3 linked regions of the Nothobranchius furzeri genome follow. The protein of the gene in region 1 purifies or fractionates together with the protein of each later gene. This does not show direct contact. Links are inferred from orthologs where the notes say so. Each region holds a gene or a part of one and is shown on either strand. Other genes may lie near its edges. The genes, in order: sf3b6, phf5a and snrpa1.

Region 1 (3,752 bases):
TGAACTGATCGCTCTCTAGTTTTTGTTGTTAACAAAAATAACAAATTTTGTTTTTCCATCAAACTATCTTAGCTGATCCATCCATCCATTTCTGGCCGCTTATCCAGGGTCGGGTCACGGGGCAGCAGCCTAAGCAGGGAGGCACAGACTTCCCTCCACAGCTCCTGCAGGGGAATCCCAAGGTGTTCCCTGGTCAGCTGAGAGACGTAGTCCCTCCAGCGCATCCTGGGTCTTCCTTTAGGTTAGAGATGGGCGATATGGCTCAAAATCAATATCACGATATATTGAGGATTTCACCTCGATAACGATAAATGGACGATAACTACAGGTATGCGCAGTAGAGCTGTAGCGATGCATCGATGACGTCGACGGCTCGATTCTAAAAATTCGTCGACGTCAGATCCGGTGGTCGACGCACCACGCCCACTTGTTGCATCCCCAGGAGTTTGTAAATAGAGGTGGAACCTGCCTGTTTTTCCTCTAGTCCACCCTCTTCTCCGCCTTCACTAACATCTCCACCAAATACCGAAGACCCAGAACAATGTCCGTCCGCTACTAGATTCCTTTCCTGTTTTGCCCGCCTTCGTCTCCTGGCAACGGGCAACAACTTCCGGGGTCAGATGCGCAGCTCCGTCTCTACTGTGTAAAAAACTTCTAAACCGAGTTTCTGTTATGCTTCTCTAAACATTGGTTCATGGGAGTCTCTAACCTGCAATTTGCTCTTTAAGGGATTTGTCATGTAATTTGTGTCAACAAACCAATCAACTCCAGGCAGAAACAACGTCCATGAAGGTGGCTCCTTTTCTGTGTTCATCTCTTTTCAGGCTAAAGACCAAAGGTGACAGATCATCTGCTGCTGTGGCCCCTAGACTCTGGAGCTCTCTCCCTCTGAGCCTGAGATCAGTGGACTCGGTGGTCTCCTATGAAAAGCAGCTAAAAACTCACCAGTTCAAGCTGGCTTTGGTGTGACCTTCGTCACCACCCTCTCCCTATTCGGCTCTTTCTACGTATTCCGCCTTTCCCAGCAATCCACTCATTTCCCTCTTTCCTATTCATTTTCTCTCTCCCATTCCTTACATTATTATTTTTAATCACAATTTACTTATCTTCATTTTAAACATATTTTTAATCGTTTTTTGACATCTTTCTAGTTGTTTTGTTTGTGAAGCGCCTTGTGATTTTTATTTTGAGAGGCGCTACGTAAAAGATCGTTTTCTTTCTGTCTTTGCTGCTTTCTCTACGACTCTTAACTGTTACTTCAACGTGAGCTCTCTAAATACACTTAAACCTGTTTTACTTACATTTGTTTTATTTATGTTTACCGTGAAGCGATGTGTGGCTTTTATCCTGTGAAGGCTGCTTTAAATGCAGAGTTGGCTTTGTTACATAAAATTTTCTTTTACTCTGAAAATGACTTCATAATAACACACACACACACACACACACACACACACACACACACACACACACACACACTTTTTGAAAACTTACGTTCGGATCTGTCGTATTGGTCCGTATTTTCCAAAGATATCGTACATCTCCTCAGCTGTGATCTTATAGGGGAGATTCCTTATATACAGGATTCTGTTCACCTCAGGAGGTAATCGGATCTACAACACCATTAAAACACATCATTAAACTATTCAGAGGGAACAAAACTAACCTGGGTAAAAACTCAAATACCTGATACATAAGTACACACGATTACTAGCTGAGGCCTTTTAAGACTACGTAAGTCACTTAACAATAGACATGGCTACTTTTAATCATTACATGCATTAGCTTATCCTTGTTTCCGTACCGGAAGGAACAAATATTCTTAGCCTGACGATATCCCAACGAGGATTATGTCTTCACAAAACAAAAGATGAAAAAACACATGACCTCAAATGGTAAGTATAACTAAAGTGAATATAAAGCTTGAAGATTTCAGGTTTTGAGGACTGTTTTCAATTTGCTAACCTGCTAGTAGTGCGCTAATTCTTTGAGACGCTTCCTCAGAGCTAAACCTAGCTTACATTTCACATTAGCCTTTCCTTTGTCCCCTTATATGCTCCATTACACTTACATTAGCACGTTTTGCTGCTTGCATAGCCATCGTAACGATTTAATTCGTGTAAATAACGCAGATAAACAACAAACACGCTGTTTTCACTTCAAAATGGAGGCTACGGTAAAAATATATCGAACTTCCGGTTTGGAATTAGGCTACAGATACATCCTTATAACGGTGCTGCCCTCTAGCGGCGGACAAGAACCTCAACCAGCCTGGAACAATTATCCTAACTATAGAAAAATGACATTCTTACAGAAATGCTATTTGAATACTGGCTGCTGAGGCTGATAACTGAAGATGCATAAGAACTGAACAGAACCTATACTTAAGCTCAACTCAGTAAAAAAATCCCAGAGTTTCTTTCAATATAATGAATACGAATAAAATAACATTTAAAACTGTATAGCAAACAAGTGTTAGTGCACTTTTTTTAAAACATGAAAAAATATTTAGGCTAAAATGTTCTTCTCGCTCTTCATACCAGTTGGTTCCAGAATTGAAGGGAGCACTATTTCCATTCCATTTTATTTTTAAAGCACATTTTTACAGGGCCGAGGCCAACCAAAGTGCTGCACAGTAAATGAGCATAAAAATCAACACACTGGAAGAAGTAATAAAAGTAGTACAGTAACTACTATAAAATCAATAAAGACAAAACAAAAACATCGTAAAATGCTAGCTAGGCTGAAGTAAAAGCTAAGGAATAAAAATGAGCCGTCACTGCTAGAGACGAGGCGCACAGACTGAGAAGGCTCGTTCTCCTTGCGTCCTCACCCGAACTCTTGGGACCTGTAACAGGTCTGCTGACCAAAGAATTCGACCAGGTACGTAGGGCTGAACCAGCTGAGTCAAGTAGAGAGGAGCATAAAGATAGAGTTACTTAAAAACAAGAAGTAAAAATTTAAATTGGATGCGGTAGCACACCTGGAGACTATTCCCTATTCGAGTAATTTGAGCATCAATCAGGTTTTTTCAGCACCTTTAATTTTAATATTTATAAAAAACAAAACACTGATACTGCAACTAATTTTCCTCTGAAACCTCAGCAGACTTTTTAAAAGCCTTTTTTATGCACAAACGAAACAACTGAATTAGAAAAAGGGAAAAGAAAAAGGTTATTGCCATGGTAACGGATGTTGCAGCACTGGCTTATGCTGGGCTTCACTCAAACAGGCACTAAGGTGAAGCTTGGGAGATGAACATCACATCTGGTCTTCACCGAGGCCGTGACCAGGTGTAAATCACATGAACAATGCATCTTTAACACTGCTCTGACTCAACTCTGTCCCCTAAAGACTCTAACCCCCCCAGCAAGACCACGTGAAACACCTAAAAAAGGACACCTTGGTAAATGTGCACACTACATTCAGTAGGAAAACAGTCCTTTCTACCATCAGAAACCGCCTGCATAGCAGCAACATCAGGACCAAGTCCTTTCTAATGTCACGTTTTGAGGATGTTTAGGACACAAATATGCAGAAACCCAGGATGACACGAGGCTGGAGATGATGTAAAGTAAATATGCTTTATTTTGTAGAACGAACAAAAATAAATCCAAAGGCAGTGAGCCAAAAGTCCAAAAATCCAAAAACCCTGGTAACAAAAACAAAAGCTCACTGAGAGCACCAAAACCTGGAGACATAAGCTCAACTAGAGCATAAAACAACGCTGACAAACATACAATGGACCGACAACA
Region 2 (3,752 bases), on another chromosome or scaffold:
GTCTTGGAGCTGCCCAGGTTTACGATCTTGGGACAGCCATCTCGCTGCAGAGAGGAACAAAATATTTAGAGACGTTCCTGCAGACACAGCTGGGCGTACGAGAGGAGGACTCACATCTTTCTCCTGGATGGTGCACTCTTTGCAGTAGTAAGCGTCAGACACGCCGGGACCTCCGCAGATCACACAGCGCCCCTGATAGGAGCCGTAGTTACACTCATCACAAATACGCACCAGCGTGCACGGTCGCACGTAAGAGTCGCAGATCACACACTTCCCATCACCTGGAAGAGGAAGAGAAACTAAGCTGGTGATGGGAACAATAATTATTTCTACATTTACTAATAAAGTGAAAGTGCTTCTGATCTTATTAGGTAACTGTAACAATCACAAGACTGACCCGCCGTCTCTTCTGTGAGTGTTTGGAACGTTAGGAAGAGTTTCAGTCACGTGTTTTTAAGTGTGAGTGGTTGTGAAACGAAGTGGGAGAGGAGCCAAAGCTGCACTGGAGGTGTTGGATAAGTGAAACCGGAGATCTGTTTAACTGCGACTTTTCCTATTCGACCTAATGGCTTCATTGACTTTTCTCAAAGCAAAATGTGGAAGTGACATCTTTCTCAGATTTAAATCTGAGCCTTGATCTGTGTGTACAGGTGCAGACTCTGCTCAGCTCGTGTCCTTCACCTAAACCAACTTCTGTCTCAGGGTCCCATCTGGACTCCAATGCACCAGAATGCCACGTTTGGAGTTTCTTTGATAATCCTGCAACATTTGCAATAACTTTAAAATTTTCCTGTCGGGTGCTTTTCCAGATTTTCTGGTTAAGTTGGCAAGTGTCCAGACAGGATGTCCACAGGTTTGAAAATTTCTGTTAACACATTCTTCTGTTGTCTCTTTTGTCCCAGCTGGGACACGCTGAACTCAGTGGATGGAGAAACTAGTTTTAGTGAAGTTCAGTGTTGAGAGTTTAACTTCTCTCAGACTAGTTTCAGTCTGGTGAACATCTTGGTTTGGGTTGTGACCTCGTTATTATTCCTCATGTCCAGCATGTACTGTCTAAAGGTGATTCATGTTTGCACGGTCTGTGTAGAAAATATGTTTTCTTCACTTACAGCCATACATCTGGACCCTGATTACTGTAAATGACCACCAGATTTTACCTGCATATGAGTCTGGGTCACGGGGGTTGCAGCCCCAGCAGAGATACCCAACCTTGCCTCTTTCTGAAGACCTCCTCCAGCAGGATCCCCAGGTGTGCCTTGCCCAAAGTGGAGGTACCTCCAATGTGTCGCAGGTCGACCTGGAGCCTCCTGCTGGCAGGACATGCCTGAAACGCTTCCCCTAGGTGGAGTCCAGGGGACATCCATACCAAATTCCCAACCCACCTCAGCTGGCTCCTCATCTTTAAAGACATCAGTCAGTCAAAAGCTCTGCCACGTGTAGCATATGATATATGCTGCCATCCCAATTTTGCATCATCACAGGATTCTGCCTCACTTTCAAGACCAATCCCAGTCTTTGTCCTCGATATCCAAAATCCTAACGATGACCTGCATATCTCCACCTCCACCCTAAGGCCTCGTCTTCCTTTTCCTTGTTGACACCTCAGATCATTTTCAAATTCTCTTATCTAAATTTATGTTTGATTATTTTAAAAATGCTGCTTAAATTTACATTGCATTGACTTTAAAATTCATTACGGATTTTACATTGGCATGGTTTTTTATAAGGTGGGTGTTTTTAAAGTGCCTATAAATAAAATCTAGAGGTTTAACAGCGTTTATGATGGTTGGTTCTTTTTAGCCGCCTTTACTCCAAGGAAATCAGCTAGATCTTTGGGTTAGAATTAGCCAAAAGCACAACGTTCTAGAGGAAAACCTATAACAGAAATAGACTTTACAGTAAACGTGTTAAAAGTGGAGACACTTACACTTCTCGCAAAGTCTCCCGATAGCTGCGGGAGGAAAACAGAACAGTCGTTCAATTAAACGTTTCAATTTTCAGGATAAACGATAAATTTGTACTTCTCTATGTTCAATACTCAGTTAAACGGGTTTAAAAACCATAAAATTGTTAGTGTCAACAGAGATGAAAACCGTAAAGACACGTCCAGCTCCGCTACTCATTTCAGTATTTATGCTAACAGTTAGCTTAGCAGCTAACACATGGCGCAAATCAAACGTGTTTCTGATATATCTGTGTAGTTTCAAAGGTACCGAACGACATAAAGTAAAGAAACATACCGACACCCGCTTGTTTTCGACAGAAGATCAAATCTGGGTGATGTTTAGCCATTTTCAGCTAACCAACGACGGCCGAACGTAATTCAGTTTTAACCTTTGACCGGCGTGCAAGTGTCGAGTTGAGTCGCTACCACCACCTAGTGCCTTCACCTTGTAACTACACTCTTAAAAAACGGGTTTCAAATAAACAAGGACATTGGGTGAAAATGCTGTCATTAGCCCAGAATTTAAACAAATTTCCAAGTTTTATGTTCACTAAAATTCTTTATCCCTCTGCTCCAGAGGTGATGCCTCATCCTGATACGAGCTGCAATGTCTCTGAGTTACCATAGAACAGCAGCAAAGTTAATAAAATTACAAAAATCCCTGGGTTGCTGACACTGTCTCAAAAGGTTCAACAACAAATAATGAAGAATAGGGAACATTTTTATCCAGGTCCATTTTATTATTTTCTTTTCAGTTGTTGTTTAACCACTAATCAAAAGCCAAGATGGATTTTCAGTATATATTTATTACTTTTGTCAGTTTCAAATCATTACAATGACCACTGTGAGTTCTTCTTTAACAGAATTATACCAACAAACATTAAAACAGTTAACTTGGCTAATATGACCAGCCAGTGAATTAGTCTAACTAGTGAAACAGGTCCACATTGCCATACCGGCTCCTGGTCTATGCAGCCAGGATCAGCCGGTTTTCATCTGTTCACCTACTGGTCTGACTCTTACTCCCGACTGGATATTTGCTCACAAAAACAAATCTGATAACGAAACAAAAACAATGACTTGATCACTAACAAAAGCTTTTGAGGAACTGGGTGTAGCTAGGGTGACCTTGGGGGAGGCGAGACAGTTCTGAACTCTCTTTTTGGGTCGGAGGGTCTGAGAGTTTATAAACAGCAGAGATTCATGAGACATAGCTCCAGCCGTCTTTTGATTCACATCTGTTACCATCTCAGAACGTCATCTACAGCAGCCGCTTATATCTCCATCGGTTCAGCTCCTCCTGCAGTGTCTTGTTGTGTTGTTTTCCCACATCTCTTCCATGCTCCTCCCATTTTCTGGCCTCCTTTTTTCTGGGGTTTGTCTTTTTTTAACTCCGCTCAGCTTGTCCTTTATGCTCGCCTCCATTTTCTGCTGTTTCTCTTTTCTCTGCGGTCTGATGGATCATGTCTGCCAGTGGGCTCTGCTCTGGCACCTGATGTCCCGACTGGATCATCTGCTCGGCCTTCTCTTGTTTCACTTCACACTGCGAGACTTTTTGAGGCTGGTCTGGGGGGTTGATAAGGGTCTCCATCTCCTCCACCTTCACCTGCACTCTAACGACTACAGAGACACAACCCAGTCACACAACAATGATCAAAAATGACCTTTAAACCAAATTTGAAGAGCCTTCACTTACTCTCTCTCTCCTCTGGTTCAGCCTTCAGCTGGACGAGCGGCGCCGCTGGACATCGGCTTTGAGAATCGTCAGTGGTCGTATTCGTATCACCAGCCAGCTGATTTTCCTGAT
Region 3 (3,752 bases), on another chromosome or scaffold:
GGGCAGGGCCGACCCGGCCTTACTTTACATTCACGGGGACTGTGTGGAGAGGGTGCACTCCGTGAGCTTTCTGGGCGTGCAGATCTCTGATGATCTCTCCTGGACTGCAAACACCACAGCGGTGGTAAAAACTTCATGAGAGTGCTCAGAAGGAACGACCTGGAGGAGAGGCTGCTGGTCACATTCTACAGAGCCACCACAAAGGGCATCCAAGCGTACGGCATCACAACATGGTATGCAGGGTGCTCAGCTGCAGACAGGAAAGTACTGCAGAGGGTCATCAGCACAGCCCAGAAGACCACTGGATGCTCTCTGCCCAGCCTGAAGCACATTGCCAACTCTCATTACCCCAGTAGAGCAGGAACATCGAGGACTACTCTCACCCCAGTAACCATCTGTTTGACCCGTTACCGTCAGGCTGATGGTGCAGGTCACATAAAACCAGGGATAGCTTCTTTCCCAGAGCTACCAGAGTAGCAAACGACCACAAAACCAGATGAGCCTGTAAACCCGAGCCACACGTTTACTCTTACTATTAGTGTTTACTCAATATGCTAAAATTCTGCTTAACCTGCACAGAACCTGACTGATGCTGCTACTCTTTCTATACATTTGTAAATATTACTGTTGATTTTACGTTTATTTTATTCCGTATTATTTTACAAATTGCACCAAAGGGAGTGGCACTCCAATGTCGCTGTACAATAACAATAAAGTCTCTTCTATTCCCTAATACTTTTTTCTGGTCAGAATCGGCTCCTGTATGCTACTAGCCTTGTGTTTAAAACAAACCCAGTAAATGGATCGGGGCACCAGAAGATTTAAGGACGCTGGAGCAGAAACAGGTGATGAGGTAATTTCATAAAACCAACACTTCTGCTGCACTGAAGAGTCAGAGCAGCGTTTTTACCTTTAGCAGTGGTTTATTAAAGTCTTCAAGCAACCAGCCGAGATGACGCCGCAGCTCTTTCTACACATTTAATCAGACCACATCGATAACTTGTTAAGGATGACTGCACTATTCTGGAGTATTTTCACATACTTTCATGTTTGGTTTTCTGTGAATTACTCTCATATGACGATCCCTGATAACTTAATCATTTTGTCAGGGCTGGCTTTTCACTGAGCAGAGGGACCGTCTAAACCTCGTGGTAAAAAATTATTTTCATTTTGCAGAAACTCAAACTGATATTTCATTTTAAATATTTATTCCAAAAGATTACTTTAGCAGCAAAAAGTATGCAAATGTTGGAGCGGGTGACTACAGACCCCACTGATGCAGAGTCGTACCGTTCTACACGTCTTCCTGACAGCAGCTGCATCACACCGACGTCGTCTCAACTAAACGCAGATTACGCCAATGTTTTAATCTACAGCACATTGAAGAGTGACCAGCAAAAGGTCAGGCGGCCGTGACGCTGCTGCTTGCGTCTGACTCCTAATTAGTCTAGCAACATAAATGTCAAATTATTTAGTTCAATATAAGGAAGCTAAAGTGGTTTTTAAAAACGTGGCCTCCAGAATGCTCTTCTGAGTAATGGATGCCAGAGGTCTGACGGACATTTCAGCTGTCATCCCACTGTCTCTTTACTAGATCACAAATGTAACGGGTGTGGGACTCTAGTTGTGCCTCAGACTTATATATAAAGTGTTATTTATGAAGCAGGGGCAAATGATTGTGTTGAGGGGCATCAACACCCGGTTAAACAAATCTTGGAAAACCTGCATCCTAGTAAAACATCTGTTTAAATAAACAGTGTGTGTTCTTTACTGAAGGTAGTTAACTAAGGAGTAGCACAAGATGGCCAGTACGTTACTTAAAATACATTTTCTACATTTCCGATAATTACTGATATGGATCAACATGAAGTGTTCCCAGATCCTACTCGTCTCCATCATCCAGACCCTACCTGTGCAGCTCAGGGGCAGACCTGGACCATGGTGACACACAGAGCAGTGGGACTTACCAGACCCTGTTGTTGTTCATCAGCAGCGTCTTCAGCCTCTTTAGCAAAGGGAAGCCGTCCAGTTTTCTCACTTCATTATCAGAGAAATCTACAGTGTCAAACTGGTCCAGAGTAGCTCCGAGGTTTTCCACCACTGGGATCTTATAACCTAAAGATAAAGCAGAGCTAACACTGGTTAGCACACAAACACACACACACACACACACAACACTAACCTAGTCAGTTAGCCGTGGGTAAAGGCCCGAGTTTACCTCGTAAATCCAGCTCTCTGTCTCTCACAGGGTTGGTGTACTGAGCAGCCTGCTCAATCAGCTCCGCAGACAGCTTCACCATGTCGGACACGAACTTGGGCTTTTGTAACCTTTCTACAGCAAACTAAACAGTTTCACAGAGAGGTAAACGCTAACGTATTCCACGCTGCCGCCAGAACAAGAGCTTCTTCTACTTCCGGTTTGTCCGAGGACGAGTCAGTGGTAAATAGTGGTGCTACAGCGCCCCACCTGGAGTGGAGCTGGATCACTCATCAGTGCATAGGTAGGTGTTGAGTATATGGGATTAGATTTGTGCCAATAAGATGTTAAATTTAGTATATTTCCCAATAAAAAGTCCCTGTTAAGGAGCTGCAGCTCGTCTCCCTACTGGAGTTTCACAGTTTGGTAAAACTTCTCCAAGTTGGCAGACTGAGAAAATGCTGAAAAAAATCTAAGCTTTTGCTGCATTTATTTAAAGGAAAAGGTAACAGGGCTAAGTTGTTTAAATATGTGTGAATAGCCTAGCAGCAAATGAATAAAGCAGCAACCTGTAATTCCATGCTGTAGTTCTTTTTTAAACAGTTTTGTTTACCTGTTTTCCCGCTACATTTCGTTTGCAGCTGCAAACTTCCTCAGGCTGACGCTGATGGTGGCGTCACTTCCTTCTCTGTTTATCCGTGAGCAGCAGAGGATGTTGTCGCCCTCTGCTGCCCGCTCTCCCCTCTCCGACGATGCAGTCCCATGCGCGGTCCAACGTGTAAACTCCATCGTCCCTGTTCATGGTCCCACATCCACGTCACCTTATCTCGGTAGCTTCTTTTATTCATCTTTTGTATTTTTGTTGTTCGGTGTTTATGATCCTTGTGTTGTCCCAGTCCATTATATGGTTTTCTCTTGTGCAGTGATCTGTTACGGCTGACTTCTTTATTGTGATTTCTGCTTCTTCTTTTGCTGCTCTTGTGTGTTTTCGACTTGCCTCTTTCTCGCACTCCTTTCTATGTTCTATTGTTCGTGTGTTGAGTTGGCGTCCGGTTTCTCCTATGTATGTTTTATTGCAGAGTTTGCATGGGATTTTGTAAATGACTCCACATTTAAGTCCAGCTAGTATTTTGTCTTTTGGGTGTACTAGTCTGTTTCTAACTGTTGTGTATGGTTTTGTTGGTGTGTTTATGTTGTGTTTTTTCATTGTTGCTCTTATTTTTTCTGTTATGCCTTTAATGTATGGTAGGGTTATCACTGGTTTTGGTTCTTGGCTTTCTGGGTTGCTGGTTCTTTGCTTTGGTTGTTTTTTTCTTTCTGTTGTTGTTTGTTGTTTTCCTTTGTTTATTACCCATGTCGGGTATCCGCAGGTCTTTAAAGCATGTTGTATGTGTTTGTCCTCTTGTTTACGGTCTCTTTCTTCTGTTATTATGTTTGCTCGGTGATATAATGTTCTGATTACTGACATTTTGTATATGGTGGGGTGTTCTGATGTCCATAATAGATATTGGTCTGTGTGTGTTGGTTTCCTATATGTGTTAATGTTTAGGGTCCC

Evidence for each region.
Region 2: the proteins of sf3b6 (region 1) and phf5a purify together in Homo sapiens (affinity purification with mass spectrometry; 4 studies listed by BioGRID and IntAct, with this or other methods). This does not show direct contact. The link is inferred for Nothobranchius furzeri from reciprocal best matches to the Homo sapiens genes SF3B6 and PHF5A.
Region 3: the proteins of sf3b6 (region 1) and snrpa1 purify together in Homo sapiens (affinity purification with mass spectrometry; 5 studies listed by BioGRID and IntAct, with this or other methods). This does not show direct contact. The link is inferred for Nothobranchius furzeri from reciprocal best matches to the Homo sapiens genes SF3B6 and SNRPA1.

What each region holds. Positions count from the first base shown.
Region 1 is NC_091742.1:17,815,464-17,819,215, forward strand, and holds the start of sf3b6 (splicing factor 3B subunit 6), read right to left. Parts: upstream 2,218-3,752; 5' UTR 2,099-2,217; coding exon 2,069-2,098; intron 1,611-2,068; coding exon 1,492-1,610; intron 1-1,491.
Region 2 is NC_091756.1:28,019,715-28,023,466, reverse strand, and holds the start of phf5a (PHD finger-like domain-containing protein 5A), read right to left. Parts: upstream 2,395-3,752; 5' UTR 2,293-2,394; coding exon 2,241-2,292; intron 1,952-2,240; coding exon 1,928-1,951; intron 282-1,927; coding exon 115-281; intron 45-114; coding exon 1-44. Other genes in the region: l3mbtl2 (lethal(3)malignant brain tumor-like protein 2), read right to left, coding at 3,333-3,565, 3,642-3,752.
Region 3 is NC_091749.1:6,237,652-6,241,403, forward strand, and holds the start of snrpa1 (U2 small nuclear ribonucleoprotein A'), read right to left. Parts: upstream 2,426-3,752; 5' UTR 2,301-2,425; coding exon 2,219-2,300; intron 2,116-2,218; coding exon 1,968-2,115; intron 1-1,967. UniProt on the Homo sapiens protein: Involved in pre-mRNA splicing as component of the spliceosome. Associated with sn-RNP U2, where it contributes to the binding of stem loop IV of U2 snRNA.